2 linked regions of the Lonchura striata genome follow. The protein of the gene in region 1 purifies or fractionates together with the protein of each later gene. This does not show direct contact. Links are inferred from orthologs where the notes say so. Each region holds a gene or a part of one and is shown in the gene's direction. Other genes may lie near its edges.

What was found. The genes of interacting proteins can lie anywhere in the genome.
Region 2: the proteins of CCNK (region 1) and CDK12 purify together in Homo sapiens (affinity purification with mass spectrometry; 6 studies listed by BioGRID and IntAct, with this or other methods). This does not show direct contact. The link is inferred for Lonchura striata from reciprocal best matches to the Homo sapiens genes CCNK and CDK12.

Annotation. Positions count from the first base shown.
Region 1 is NC_134608.1:12,582,848-12,589,802, reverse strand, and holds the start of CCNK (cyclin-K), read left to right. Parts: upstream 1-3,954; 5' UTR 3,955-4,086; exon of another isoform or gene 4,087-4,169; intron 4,170-4,220; exon of another isoform or gene 4,221-4,355; intron 4,356-4,714; 5' UTR 4,715-4,819; intron 4,820-5,837; 5' UTR 5,838-5,907; coding exon 5,908-6,104; intron 6,105-6,955. UniProt on the Homo sapiens protein: Regulatory subunit of cyclin-dependent kinases that mediates activation of target kinases.
Region 2 is NC_134627.1:7,131,091-7,138,739, forward strand, and holds the start of CDK12 (cyclin-dependent kinase 12), read left to right. Parts: upstream 1-4,629; 5' UTR 4,630-4,794; coding exon 4,795-5,834; intron 5,835-7,649. Other genes in the region: MED1 (mediator of RNA polymerase II transcription subunit 1), read right to left, coding at 65-143, 1,539-1,645, 3,067-3,283. UniProt on the Homo sapiens protein: Cyclin-dependent kinase that phosphorylates the C-terminal domain (CTD) of the large subunit of RNA polymerase II (POLR2A), thereby acting as a key regulator of transcription elongation.

The DNA of each region.
Region 1 (6,955 bases):
CCTGGTCACAGAACCCAGAGCTGAAATGAAAGAATACAGCTCTAATTCTTCCTTATTTCAAAGAAAGGAAAAGGATTAACAGACTACCTGAACAGGATGGGAAGTGGTAAAGGAAGGGCAAGGATAGATGGAGCAACTGGAATAGTCATTTGTTAGAAGAGAAGCAATCAAGAGGCAATGTAGGGCAGAGCAGCTAAAAACAGAAAAAGGGAGCAAAGAAGGTTAAAGCAGAGGAAGGGCAAGACCAAAAATGCAAAGCAATATTAAAATACACTTGGGCATGAAGTCACCTCTTAACTGCTACAAACACAAGCCTAGCTCCAAATACACACGACTAAGACCAGACAACACTAATGGACCATTTTTATGGAGCAATGAAGTACTCCTGCAGTACTTTTAGTTTTGAGACATTCTTTCTCATATTTTACATAACAGCCTAAGTTAAAAACACTATTAGTCACCTAAAGCGAAATCTAGGAATCTGAAGTGTCTCCAACAAGTTCTTTGGCAAAGGACGGTCAGAATCAAATGATTCCCTTTACTATAGAAAGCTGTACCACCACAGGTGTGTCAACCACAAGCACAAGCCTAAAGCATTTGGAAAAGAGGAAAGACTGAACCACTGCTGTATGCACTGCACACATCTACTCTGCAAAGAACAAACTGCTAATCCCATTACAGTGTAAGGTTAAGGAAAGAACAATGGTGATAGTGGTGACTGTGATACTGGGAAGAAGCCAATCTACAGAATAATATCAAAAGAAGCCACTAAAGTTAGCTAAATATTTACTTGATACACTTAAAAAACCACCAAGTACAACAAATTTAGCTAAGTATTGGGAATCAAATTCCAAAAGATGTTTATTCTTAGAATCAAAGAAAACATGCCTTGATAGTATTCCGATTACAAATGCTTGAGGTAGCACTAATCTACTAAAAAAGGAAGTCCTGTCATTTTGACATTATCTCCCTCCCCACCCAGTTGAACCTAGCTACATACTAAGCACAAGACTGCCTCATGCATTAAATATAAACTTCTGGTAAGAAATTATTAATTTGAAGGTAGCACAAAATGCTGAAGGGCAAAAAAAAAAGTCCATATCCAACAGAACAGCTCAAAAAAGTATGTATTTCTTAATTCACTTTTATCAGCTTGCTAATTTGGAACTATTACATTATTTACCACAGGTTTGTCCCTATACCCCTTGGCCTTCCATTAAAGCTTTCTTAAGCAGATGAAGTAATTCTTACTATCAACACCTGCCTGATCTTTCTAGGGAAGATAGTTATCTATCCACAGGAAACAAGCTCTTAACTCCTTTGTCTGTCTCTTGAATCAGATCCTCAGACAGCTATTTGACCAGAAAAAAAAAAAACAAACTTACTCTTTAAAGAAAATAAGCTGATAAACTCTACCAATTTACCAACCCACTTTTGTAATTTTATTTCTTTGCCTGAATTTTGCTCCTCCTGAAGACTCCCACAAACTTCTTTTCCTAATTCCTTTAGAGCAGAATTAATTAAAAACCCTTATGTACTGTCTTTACCCGCATGTTCCTAAATAATGTTCTTAATTTAGAAAATATTAACCTCACTTTATATAATATAACTCCTAACTGAGAGTAAAGCAAGCCACCCTGACTTCAGCCATCAGTAAGGCAGACTTAACAGAACCACCCAGGCCTCCAAAAGCTTAAGCCACAGGCATCATGAGGTCTCATGCACTGAGCCCTATGACAGCCCACTAGAAAAGATACAGATCCCTTAAGACTTCCAGTACTCTTAAAGTACCTCTTTTTGGTTGTTTTTTTTTTTTGAAAGAGGAACCACTGAAATACTCACTTGCTGAGAAGTACACAGTTTATCAAATTAACTACATAACCAGCACCACTATGACCAAGAATTACATAGATACAGTAGATATGTCAAAATAAATTTATTATAATTAAAACATCATCAAGATGTACACTTTTCCATACAGAGAGGCATAAAACAGCCTATTTTTGATTTCTGTACCATACTGAAATCAGAATTCTATTTCAAGGCATGTCTGACTTCAGCAACAGATCAGGCCATCTCTGGAAATAGCGATATACAGATTACAAACTATTTTGGAGTTTGTGGCATTTCTTCCCCCAACAGCCTAAATCTATTTCTCAGCACACAACATCAAAAATGTGTTTTCAACTCTACTGCAGTGTATACTTCAATCCCTGCTAAACATAACTGAAAACTACTAAGGCACAAGCCAGCATGCTTGAATCTCTACCATATTAAGTTACTTAATTGAGCAAAAATATCAGGAAGCCACCCCCGCCTTTGAGTCCATCATGCCTTTCCTTCCCACAACTTGTACACTGGCTTACTATTTTGTACCAGGAACCTGATAGTGGACATACAGAATGCCACAGTTGTTTTCTACTCACCTATGGGATTACAACAACTGAAAGCAGAAAGCACTTGCCAGACATTAAGCTAACATTGTAGCAATTTTCAGAGAACAAAGCTGTCACTTGAATGTACAGGTGCCTTCATTACATGCTCTTAGAAGGGACAAAGACAATCTACTTTCAGCTTGATCTCAGGAGCCAGTTTAGGTTCCAAAGACAAGCCCATCTAGAAGAGCAGATACCAAGCTTGGGGCAAGAGCAGCTTTGAACCATGAGGGACAACTTCCAAAACTGAGGTTATTCTGATAGCTGAATGTAGGGTAAAAAAATTTAGGAATTTGCTAAGAACTGAAGGCAAAGCACAGCCTCAGCTCAAGCAACTCTAATGAAGTGTTGCTGGGTAAGAAAGAAGAAGAAGGGTTCACGGGACAGGCAGCTGCTGTAGCAATAGGGGAAGGCTGAAATACCGAGGCTGTTTCAGGAGTAACACCCCTGTCAATAAACATTTACGATTTATTCTAATTTTAACTCCTCTCTCTCTTTTTCTTCCAAAGATTTAACTCTGCTTCAGCAGGCTGCAGACGGGGTGAGAAAGGAAAGAAACCAGAGCACTCTTCTCCAGCCAGAGGAGGGCTCAGAGGAGCCACACACCCGCAGAGACGCCCCTGAGCCAGACCCCGGGAGCTGGGGCATGGGAAAATGAAGTAGGAGCAGGGAGGATTCAAACCGTATCACATATTAAAAAAAATAAAAATCTAATTACATCACGAGGAAAGCAGTTTTAAGCCATTTGCTTTACTCTCGTTTCTATCAGGGTCTGGAGGGGGGATGGGGCAAGGCAAAACGCCGGTGCCGCCGCCTCGCTCACTGGAGACCCGCGCAGGCCGGGCTGGAGCGAGCCCGGCCCGCCCCAGGCGGCCCCGGGGGACGCGCCGGGAGAGGGAAAGGCCGGGCCGAGCCTGGCGGAGGCTGCGGCTCGCAGGGGAAGGAGGCCCGGACTGGCCCCGCACCGGCCACGCGGGGCAAGGCAGGGGCGGCGAGGCCCGGCGGGAGGGGGTGTCCGGAAAGAGCGGCGCCTCCTCCGGGGAAGGAGGAGGCGGCGGAGCGGGGCGAGCTCGCGCCGCCCGGAGGGTCGAGAGGAAGGGCCCGTGCTGCAGCAGGGGAGGGGGCGCGGCGGCCCCGCCTTACCTCCCGGCACGACCGCTCCCGCCTGGCCCGAGCGAGCGGCGCTCCCGAGCCCGCGCCGCCGCCGCTGCCCGCGGTGGGGAGGCGGAGCTCCGCCCGCCCCCGCCCCCTCTGCGCGCCCTGCCGCCATTGGCCGAGCTGCCGCCCGCCAGCAGGCCCCGCCCCTCCCTCAGGCAGAGCAGCGCTCCCATTGGCTGTCATTCAATCCCTGCTGGCCCGCCTTCAGGTTTCTATTGGTCCCTGCGCTCGCAATCTTCCCCTTTACCGTTCCGATTGGTCCGCCCCCAGGGTACGGCAGCCCGGCCCAGCAGCGGCTGACGGAGCGGGCATTTGGGCGGGAGGTAGCGGGAGCGCCGCCGCTTCCCATTGGCGGGGCCGCCGTGCTCGCGCGCTGCGCCCTTGCGACGTGATGGCGCACGCGCGGCCTGGCCTGGCTCCCAAGATGGCGGCGCGCAGGCCGCGCTGTCGCTGAGGGCCCCGCGCTCCGGTGCGCTCCCGCTGCCGCAGCCCTGTGAGTGCGCGGGGCCCGCCCGGGCCGCCCGCCGGCCACCGCCGCCGCCTGGGGAACGGGGGAAGGGAGCGCGGAGGCCGGGGGTAGGGAGCGAGCGCCTCCCCGGGCACCGGCAGCCCCGTGTAGGGCGGGCGGGTGGGTCTGAGGCGGTGTGAGCATCCCCGGCCGCGTTGGGGCAGCGGGGGCGGAGCTGTGGTCGGTGCGTTCGTCTCGGGTAAGGTATGAAAAAGCCGCGATCGAGCTCTGGAGTTCTTCTCCAGTTTCATGGGGTGCTTAAAAAGGCAGGGAAAAGTTATTATTTCCGGGCGTTGCGGTCTCTGGATTGGGACGTTTAACATGGTTCATTTAAGGTGCTTGCGGGTGATAATTTTCATTCCTGGTTCCGTATTCGGAAATGCGTTTGGGCTTTTATAGAAAAAGATCTTACCGCTTCAGGCGCTTTTAGTGTTAACTGATTTTTAAACGCTTTAGAAGTTAGAAAGTAAAATATCTGGTAAGGAAGAAGGGTCGTTGCAGTTATAAAAGCAGCTTTCTAGTAAATATGATGAGAATGTGTGCTTGTGGCCTGGCGCGCTTTCGTTGAGTCTGGAAATAGTTTTTAGTAGCCATTTACTTTTTCTTGTGCCAGAATTTAGATCTGTCTGTGACCGATACCACGAGTTGTGAAGGTGATTCCAAAACCACCGTGAGGCAAAGACAGTTTCGTTTATTCTGAAAAAGAGACTTTTTGAAGGTGAGCGAGGTGCTGATTGTAGGCATCGTTCTGTGGCTGTTCACGGGATCTTCCTTCCGTTTTCGGAAGGGAAACGTCTCGATAAGTAATAACTGATTTTAAGAGTTTTAAGTTTGGGTCTTACTGTGACTGTCTTGCTTAGAGCGAATATATTGCATCATATATTAATGTCTGTCTGTTATGCAAACCTTTGCAGGTGACTGCAGTAATCTGGGAATAGTATCTGTAGTTAGTTGAGTTGGAGTAAGAGCAGTTTTGTGCCTGTAAGAAAAAAAAAGCACTCTTTAAGCTGAGGCATGGCTGAACGTCTGTCATAATTCAATCACCAAAAAGGTGCCTGCAGAACTTTGTGATCTGCATCTGTGTACACAAAGTGCTGGTAAACAGGGGCAAGTAGGAGACTCTTGGGGTGTATTTGGTTGCCTTGTTTGGGGGATGATTTTAAATGCTGCCTTGCTCTATAAACTCACGTTGTCTTAATCTAGGTATGTGAAAGAACACTGACACACTTTTTTTCTTTAAGTAGTAAAAGTACAGATCACTTTACAAAGCTTCTGCCAAGTGGTTGCTGCCCGCAATATCCCTGGGAGCAGGCAGGTATTTAAGAGGCCGTTCAGGCTCGCCTCACCGGTGCCTTTCCTAATTACCAATAGTCATCTAATCGCCCTAACTTTCCACATCTTTCTGCAGCCGTCACTGAATTGTTTTTTCCTAGTTTTACGGACAAAGTAGATGGTAGTTGTTCTACTAAGAAATAGCAATATTGTTGGAGATCTATTCTTGAAGTTTCCTTATTAAACAGGTAACAGCAAGGATAACCTATTACTTTTTCTGATTGTATTTGCAAAATATGGAGAGGATAAAGGCAAAGTTCTTTATTACTTGTCTTTGAGCATAGGAACAAGTTCTTTCCAACAGGCAAGGCTAAGCACTATTCTTTTTTTACTCCTCTTTGAGGAGGAACTTCAGAAGGTAGTTCTCTCTATTTTTAAAGAATTCCTTTTTTGTTTTCTTCAAGGTCCTGAAGTGACTCTCTGAAGACTTCGTTTTTGAAAATTTAAAAAGCAGAGACAATTCTGTTTTAATAAATGAAGGAGAATAAAGAAAATTCCAGCCCTTCTGTGAACTTGGCAAACCTGGACCATACAAAGCCATGCTGGTACTGGGATAAGAAAGATTTGGCACACACACCATCACAGCTTGAAGGGCTTGATCCAGCTACAGAGGCACGATACCGCAGGGAAGGGGCCAGATTCATATTCGACGTGGGAACACGTTTAGGGCTGTATCCTTTACACATTGTTGGTATGAAATGTCTCTATGAATAGTGAGTTTTCAGAATAAAATACACAAGAAATGTGACATGCTCAGCTGATCAGATTTTTAATTGCTAATTAAAAATATATGTGTGTTGAAGTGCCTTTCAATATAATGTGTTCCTACACCATTTCTATCCATTCATTGCATAAACAGGGTTCCAGTTTGTTGAAGAGAAGTAAGATGATACAAACTTTCCAATTAAGAGTAACATCTGTGAGTTATGAAACTCAGTATTTCACTATATGAATCTGCATGGCTTCTCAAATTTTGAATTTTTCCCTCCTTTTTCTAAATTGTTAGAATCTGGCCTTTGAGGCTCTAACCTCTGCCTCCCCAGTCTTGGTCTCTGGTGGCTGTTTTTTTGTTTCATGGTTTGGGATTTACAACTTTGTGTATAAGTTCTCCCCATTGTCCCACTCCCTCATAGACAGCCACTTAAATTTTCTGCTTTCTATATTCCTATGCTTCCTTTAAACTCCTTAGTTCTTTCTTTAATAATGCATGGTGAAGACTAAACTTCTATTTGTCTTAAAGTGAAGAATACGGAGCATGTTCAGATTTTATTTGCATTTGTAGGTTTGAATAGTAACTTTCCTCCATGCCAGCACTTGAATGTGAAGCGATAATTGTTCTGTTCCTTCGTGTACCTACTGCTGGATTTGTCCTTCTCTGAGGCAGCTATGGTGCAACACAGGAGTCACCTTATGTGCATCCTCTTGGAAATACAGTCAGCACTTTGCATACTTACAATAAATGCTTTCGATATCAGCTGCATCTGGGCCTGATCATAGTATTTACACAGCTTTAAGGGCTTTT
Region 2 (7,649 bases), on another chromosome or scaffold:
CCCTGTGTGCTTTTTATGGAGCATTTCCAGAGGATTTTCCACCCTGTGGAGACAACACACCAACCTTTCAGGGCCTTCTGCAGTGTCTCCAAGCAGCTCACCAGGTGCTGGTGTCCCCCCGAGTTCAGCACCACACGCTTTTCCTTGGGCAGGCAGAAGAAAAAAAAAACATCATTTTTCCTTGTCCCTCAGTAGGAGGGAATTATGGCAACTTTTGAACAGCTAAGCGAGGTTTATTTTGATAATTAAAAGCAGATTAGATTTCACCCCCAAATTACAACATTTTGATTCCTCTAGGTGAGCAGTAATCTGCTTGCAAGCAGATCACAAAGGCAGGCCTGGAATTGAGTTTATTTTCTTTTTAGCAACTTGCCCAGCTGGAAGAACAGAATGTAGCAACTTTTTATAGGTCTAAGCTGAGAGTTTTAGAAGAGGAGACAGAAAAATAAAGAGTTGGGCAAACTTTTAACACATGAGTGTGGGCAGGAGGTTTTGTTGTAGCTCTCCCCTGCCTCCTGCTGCCACACCAATATTTTAAACCCATTTTTGACTAAGCCAGGGCTGAGTGTTGAGTGTCACTGAACAAACTGTTCCACAAAACAATATCCTGGAAGGGTAAATAGCAGGAAATATAGGTTTTACTCTTTCCCTGGCACTGAACACTAATTAGGGAACGGAAAGGCACATCAGGCTGGGCAGGTTTGGACATCCCTCCCTCCCCTGCACCACTCAGGAGAGAGTGAAGCCACAGTGCTGTGGTTTGACATGAGAAAAAGAATCTTTTCAGCAGGAAGAAGTTGATGTAGTCAGGGGTCAGGTGTAAATATTGACACTTAGAATAACCAACTGAAAGTAGACATGCTCTTAATATAGAGGGGTTAAAGGCTCTAGAGGAAAATGGGGGGGACTGTAGCCCCAAAATTAAACACTAGACTGTTGTTCCTCTTGGTCCTTGGCAAAGCATCCTCAAAGGAGCCCAATGAGCAGTCTCTGTCCATGCACGGTGGTGAGAGCACAGTGACAAAAAGAGGAGTGTCACACTGGCAGATTCTCTCCAGGCAGTGCCACGTGTGACACAGAAACACAAGAGGTGGCAGCTGTGTTTCCTGGGGGTCTGTAGTGCAAGGGAGACTCCTCTGTCCCCTCTTAGACTCAGTATTGATTATATATTAAAAGGTAAATACTTCATTAAGAGTCCAAATGTGTGTCACTGTAGTTTATTAAAGTTAGATAGTAAGAAGAGGAATGTTTTGAAAGGTTTTAATTTCAAATTTTATGTGTGCTTTTCTTTTTTTTCTTTTATACTAATATAGCAGTAGTAGCTTAATAAAGCTTTTTTTTCCTTTTTGTTATTAAGCTTCGCCTGCTTTATTCTCAATCACATTTCACAGCATCCAATTAAGAAGCTGCATTTTCACGGGGATACCAGCATCAAACCATGACACATGGACACAACAAAAAACACCTGGAAAAGGTCTAAAAACCCAAGAGAAATCCTTCAGCAGAGGAGCTGCAGCTCAGAGCCCAGCAATGCTCACCATGACCTGTCTGACCAACTTGATGGTTTCTGTCCAGGGCCGGTTCTGGCTGTACTTGGCGTGGAGCCTCTCCAGGAGGGAGCTCATCTTGTTCAGCTTCTCTGCCTCTGTCACACAGGAACACAGTGAGCCAACTTTGGTAAGTTCTGCAAACCACTTAAACAACACAAAACTTTCCACCTTTAAGCTGAAAATGACTTCAAAGAATTTGCTAACTGCTGGTTTAACCCCAGAGCTTGAGGTGAGGTTAAGTGTTACGGAATCTCCCAGGCTGTTAAAACTAAAGGACTGTGAAAATCTTATGGATTTTCCTGGAAAATGCTCAGCTCCTGTTCTGCACCATCCCTGAGTGATGTGGCCTCAGCAGGTTCAGTTCTGTCAGGAGAGGATCCCCAGAAACTGAGGCTGTGGGAAACACGGGGTTAAAGCAGTGAGGTGGGTTTTGTGTCCTGGATCCCCTCTCTGGTCTCTCTCCCCCAACTTCTTGAAAGGTCCTCAACACCTTCCACCATCAAAAACCTCAGCCAAGTCATTCCAGCTGCCAGTTCTGCCAAATTCTGTGCTCAGACACGTTCCTGCCCCACAGCAGGACATGGGGAAGCGGCTGGAGCTGTGCCAGGGGGGTTCAGGTTGGATTTTGGGAAGTTTTTTCCCCCCCTCAGAGGGTGCTCAGGCAGTGGAACAGTTCCCCTGGGAATGGGCACAGCCCCAAGAGCTCCAGGAGGGTTTGGACAACGCTCTCAGGGATTTTTGGGGTGCCTGTGCAGGGCCAGGAGTTGGACTGATGATTCCTGGATTTTGGGAATTTTTATCCCCTCCCAGAGGGTGCTCAGGCACTGGAACAGCTCCCCAGGGAATGGGCACAGCCCCGAGGCTGCCAGAGCTCCAGGAATGTTTGGATATCACTCTCAGAGACAGGGTGGGATTTTTGGGGTGCCTGTGCAGGGCCAGGAATTGGGTTGATGATTCCTGTAGAGCCCAGAGCCCCAGGAATGTTTGGACATTGCTCTCAGAGACAGGGTGGGATTTTTGGGGTGCCTGTGCAGGGATGGGAGCTGGGCTTTGATGGTCCTGGGGGTCCCTTCCAGCTCAGGACATCCCATGGCTCCACAATCAGCTCCAAGCTGAGGGCTGCTGTCCCCTTGTGCTGCTCCATGTGCTGGGGGGGATGAAGCAGTGGATGAGTGATAAAGAGAACATGGTTCTCATGAACACTGAAATCCAGTGTTTTATTGCCAAGAGACAGAGCTTTTCATACTTTCACGTCAAAAAAACCATCCCAGTGGACGTCATTCCAGAATAAACCCTGTCCCCAGCCCCAGAGGGTCCAGTGCAGACATGACATTTTAGTGTCACCTCACAGGAGCCTGTGACTTCCACCTGCCAAAATTCCACAGTTTGGGCTCCTGATTGATGCTCTGCTAGCCCACAGACCTCACATTGAGCCCTCCAAACCCAAGTGTAAGGAAGGAATGAATGAATGCTGGGTGTTCTGGAGCCTCCTGCTCTGCACACATTGCAAACCCACCTGTGTCCCCTGCTCCAGCTGACCCTGCCTTGGCAGAGGGGTTGAACTGGATCATCTCCAGGGGTCCCTTCCAACCCCAGCTACTCCGGGATTTGTTTTCAGGCACTTTACACCTCTCAGCTGCATCAACACAGGATGCTGCAGGTGGGAAGGGACCCCTGCAGCTCACCTGGTCCAAGCCCCTCCTCAACCAACACTGAGTTGTCCAGAATCCCATGAGAGAGCTGGAAGGGATCTCTGCAGATCACCCAGCCAGGCAGGGTCACCTGGAATGTGCCCAGAGACCACTCACCCTCCCTGGACACCCTCCTGGAAAGAAGCTCTTCGTCATGCCGAGGTGGAACTTGCTGTGTTTTATTTTCCGGCCGTTTCTCCTCGTCCTGCCGCTGAGCAGAGTCTGAACAGGGCTCTGACAGCCCCTAGCGATATCTGCCCGGACTGATAGCATCCTCATCCTCCTCTCCTCCACAGCAACCAGGCCCAGCTCCCTCCACCTCCGCACAGAGACTCCCCACACCTCAAACCACCTTTGTGACCCTCGCCCGTTTCACTTTCCGGGCCGCCACCTCAACCTCAACCCGAATGCGGAGCCTCGGATCCGCCGGGCCGCCCTCCTTCCCTCACGGAGAACCGGGAACCCCCGCGCCCCTCGCGCCGCACTCACCCTCGGCGCTGCCGGGCGCGGCCTTCATATTGCAAACGCGGGGCTGGTCTGGACTGGAGAGAGGGAGCGGAGAGGGAGCGGGAGCGGCGGCGGCGGCCGGGCCGCCCTCGCCCTCACACGGCGGCGGCCGCCGCCATCGCTGCGCCCGCGGCCGCGCTCCCGCGCTCTCGCGAGACTCCGCGGGAGCGGGGCGGGGCTCGGCGGCCAGCGCGCCCCGCCCCCTCAGCGCCCTGGAAGCGCGGCGGCCGCTCCGCAGCCCCTAACGGAGCATTAACCGCTCGTTAGCCGGCGGTGCGCCGGGGAGGGCTCGGCAGCCACCCGCCGGCGGCTTTAGGGCGCGGCGCGGCGGAGCGGGAGAGCGGCGGGAAAGGGCGGGGCGGAAGCGGCGGCGCCGCCGCCATGGGAGCTTTGTTGCGGGCCGGGCGCTAGGGGGCGCTGTCCCCGCCCCGCGCCCCGATTAAAGTTCGCTGGGAAGGAGCCGCCGCGCGATTTGGCGGCTCTCGCGAGAGGACGAGCGCGCGGGCCCCGCCCATCCCCCGAGAGGACTCGCGGACGAGGAGGACTCGCCGGGGAGGGAAGGAGGGAGGGGTGGCGGCGGCGGAGTTGTCGCGAGAGTTGCGGGCGGGTCTCGCGAGAGTTGGCGGCGCCCCCCGGACGGCGCCGCTCCGGTTCGGGCAGAGCGCGGGGGCCGCGCCGGGGGCGGCGGCGGCTCCGGGGCCCCTTCGGCCGGGGATCCGCGCCCAGGCCCCGCCACCGCCGCTGAGGCCGCGGGCAGCGCTCCGGGCCCCGCCTTCCCGGGGCGGCCGCGCTGCCCGCCGGGCCTGGGCCCCCCTCGGATGAGGCGGTGAGGCCGCGGCGCTTCCCCCTCCCCTCCCGGCTCCTTCCCCCCCCCCCGCCCCGGCCCGTCCCTCCCGCCGCCTCCGGGGCTCGGGCCCCGCTCCCCGTGTGAGGAGGGAGCAGCGAGGCCGGCGTGGATGGTGCGAGGGGCGGGCGCGGAGGGAGTTTGAAGTTGGGGGTTTCCGCCGAGTCCGCCCCTCGCCGTTCCCGAGCGCAGCGGGGGAGGAATGCCAAACCCGGAGAGGCATGGGGGCAAGAAGGACGGCGGCGGGGCGTGCTCGCAGCCGGGCGGCGGCGGCTCCAACAGCAAGGAGAGGCACCGGGCGGGCTCCAGGCACAAGAGGCACAAGTCCAGGCACTCCAAGGAGTCCCCGCTGGCGGCCCAGGAAGCGGCGGCGCCCCTGGGAGCGGTGATCAAGCCGCTGGTGGAGTACGATGACATCAGCTCGGACTCGGACACCTTCTCGGACGATGTGGGCCTCAAGCTGGACAGGAGGGACAACGACGAGAGGAGGGCGGAGAGGAGCGAGAGGGCCCAGAAGCACCGGCACCACCAGCACAAGCGGCTCCGGGAGCTGATGAAGAGCAAACAGGCGGAGAAGGACAGGAAGTTGGAAAAGAGCCTGGATGCTTCCAGCAGGTCCGCCAAGGAGAGGATCTCGGGATCCTCCAAGAGGCTCCTGGAGAGCGAGGAGCACCCCAAGGCGCTCTCCTCCTCCAAGAGCAGCAACAAGGAATCGCGCTCGGCCAAGGCGCACAAGGAGAAATCCAGGAAGGAGCGGGAGCTCAAGTCCAGCCACAAAGAGCGCAGCAAAAGCCATCGCAAAAGGGATGCTCCCAAAAGTTACAAAACCATCGACAGCCCCAAGAGGAAATCCAGGAGCCCTCACAGGAAATGGTCGGACAGCCCAAAACTGGACGACAGCCCTTCGGGAGCTTCCTACGTGCAGGAATACGACCTCAGCCCGCCCCGCTCGCACACCTCCAGCACCTACGATCCCTACAGGAAAAGCCCCGGCGGATCCTCACGCCGCCAATCCCTCAGCCCGCCCTACAAGGAGCCCGTGGGTTACCAGTCCAACGCCCGCTCGCCCAGCCCTTACAGCCGGCGGCAGCGATCCGTGAGCCCCTACGGCCGGAGGCGCTCGTCCAGCTACGAGCGGGGCAGCGGCTCCTACAGCGGGAGGTCCCCGAGCCCCTACGGGCGCCGCCGCTCCAGCAGCCCCTTCGCCTCCAAGCGCTCCGTCAGCCGCAGCCCCATCGCCAGGTGCGTGTGCCCCGCCTCGCCCCGGGAGCTGGGAGGGAGTTCGGGAGAGTTTGGAGTGATGGGATACAGGGGGGGATGGGTTCAGGTTGATGGAGGGTGGGTTTAAGGTGGGATATTGGGGAAAAAATTGTTCCCTGCTGCGCTTGCCTGAGGAAGTTGTGGATGCTCCATCCATGGTGTTGTCCAAGGTTGGATAGGGCTTGGAGCAAGCTGGGCTAGAGGAAGGTGTTCCTACCCATGGGATGCTCTTCAGGGCGTTTTCCAACCCAAACCACTCCGTGATTCCGTGATTCCTCCCCATTGCTGCCCAGTGCCGTGTGTGGAGTTGGCTTTGGCTGGGAGCTTTGACCGTTCCCTTTGGAAATGGGGCTGACACTTTGGGAACCGCCTCTGTGCCTGGCGGGAGGCAGCGTCCATGTTGGCTGCGGGCAGGGAGGGAGGCTGGAGGAGCTGCTGGGATTAAGTTACACCCACCTCTGGAGTGGCCCCTTCGTGGGGAGGCTCCCGGAGCAGGATCTAAGGCGCTTACCTGCTGGGAACTTCAGCCACGGGGAATGTTTTCACCTATTTCTGGAAGCCTTTATCTGTTTACTGCGTGTGGGAGCGTGATCCTGCTTTTCAGGAGGGCTCGTTTGGGGTGGATTTTGCTCTTCCTGAACTGGTTTGTCTTTTCTTTCCCCTTGGATTAGAGGCAGCCACGTGCAAACTCCATCTCTCAGCCTAAACTTTCTTTTCTCAGCACTAGAGTTTCTTCCCTTCTGAAATGTGGGCAGGCTGGAAGGGCGAGGAGCAACCAGCTGGATTTTGGCTTATCTCTAATTTTCTCTCCCCTTTTACTCAGTAACTTTGCTCCAGAAGGAAACAATTATTTCAAGGTAGCTCTGTGCGTTTTATTTCAGGTGTTCATTAATCATCCTGTGACATAGTCTAATGTTGATCTTTTCTTTCTCTAGCCCTGGCTTAACGTTCAGTGAGTTTCCAGTTGTCTCCATGGATGCTGTGGAGCTTTGCTTGGAGCTCCATGGCAATTCAGATGTGACCTGGAATGCAATGGCCATAGGAATGCTCTGCTCCCTGGTTGCTGTGCTGCATCCTGCAGCTCAGCAGTTCCCAAAGCACACGGGGCTTTTGGAATTTGGTCTTTGTTACTGCAGCTCTGAACTTCAGGAGTGCTGTCTTCCATGGAGAGCTCGCCTTTGTCCTTGCTGGCAGTTCTGTCTTGGTTTCAACCCCCCTGGAAGCTCTGACGTAAAATCTCTGTATTCCACTGTGATTTTTACAGTGAAAATTTCCTCCAGGCTGCTCCTCCTCTGGCCTGTTTTCTCTGTGTACACCTGGGAGGTTCTCAGGGATAGGCCTGGGTAGTTTTCTGCTCCTTCCCTTCAGTCCTTTTTGCCTGGTGGTGCTACTCTGACACGTTATTTGCTCACCCTTTGGAAGGGTGAGGAAGGTGCAAGGTGTCAGTTCACTGATACAACTCGGAGTTGTGGCGCTGAGGAAATGTCCAGCCCTGAGCAGGGAGAAGCCACTGGGAGCTGCAGAGCAATCCTAAGAGTTTTCTCCCCAGGAGAACCTCTCTGTGTAAGTGGCTGAGTAGAGAATTCAGAGTAGAGAATTCCAGCAGTTCCATTTCCCTGATTTATGGGAGCAACTTCAGAGCACTTTGTGCTGCTTCCCTAAACTTTCAGAGCAACTTTCTAAGGACATCTCCGACTTAAATGCTGGACCCCAAACCAGATGAGTTCCAAAGGTTGCTCACTGTTTACATTCAGCTTGTACCCAACTCTCTGGCTTGATAACTTACTCCTCTCTCTT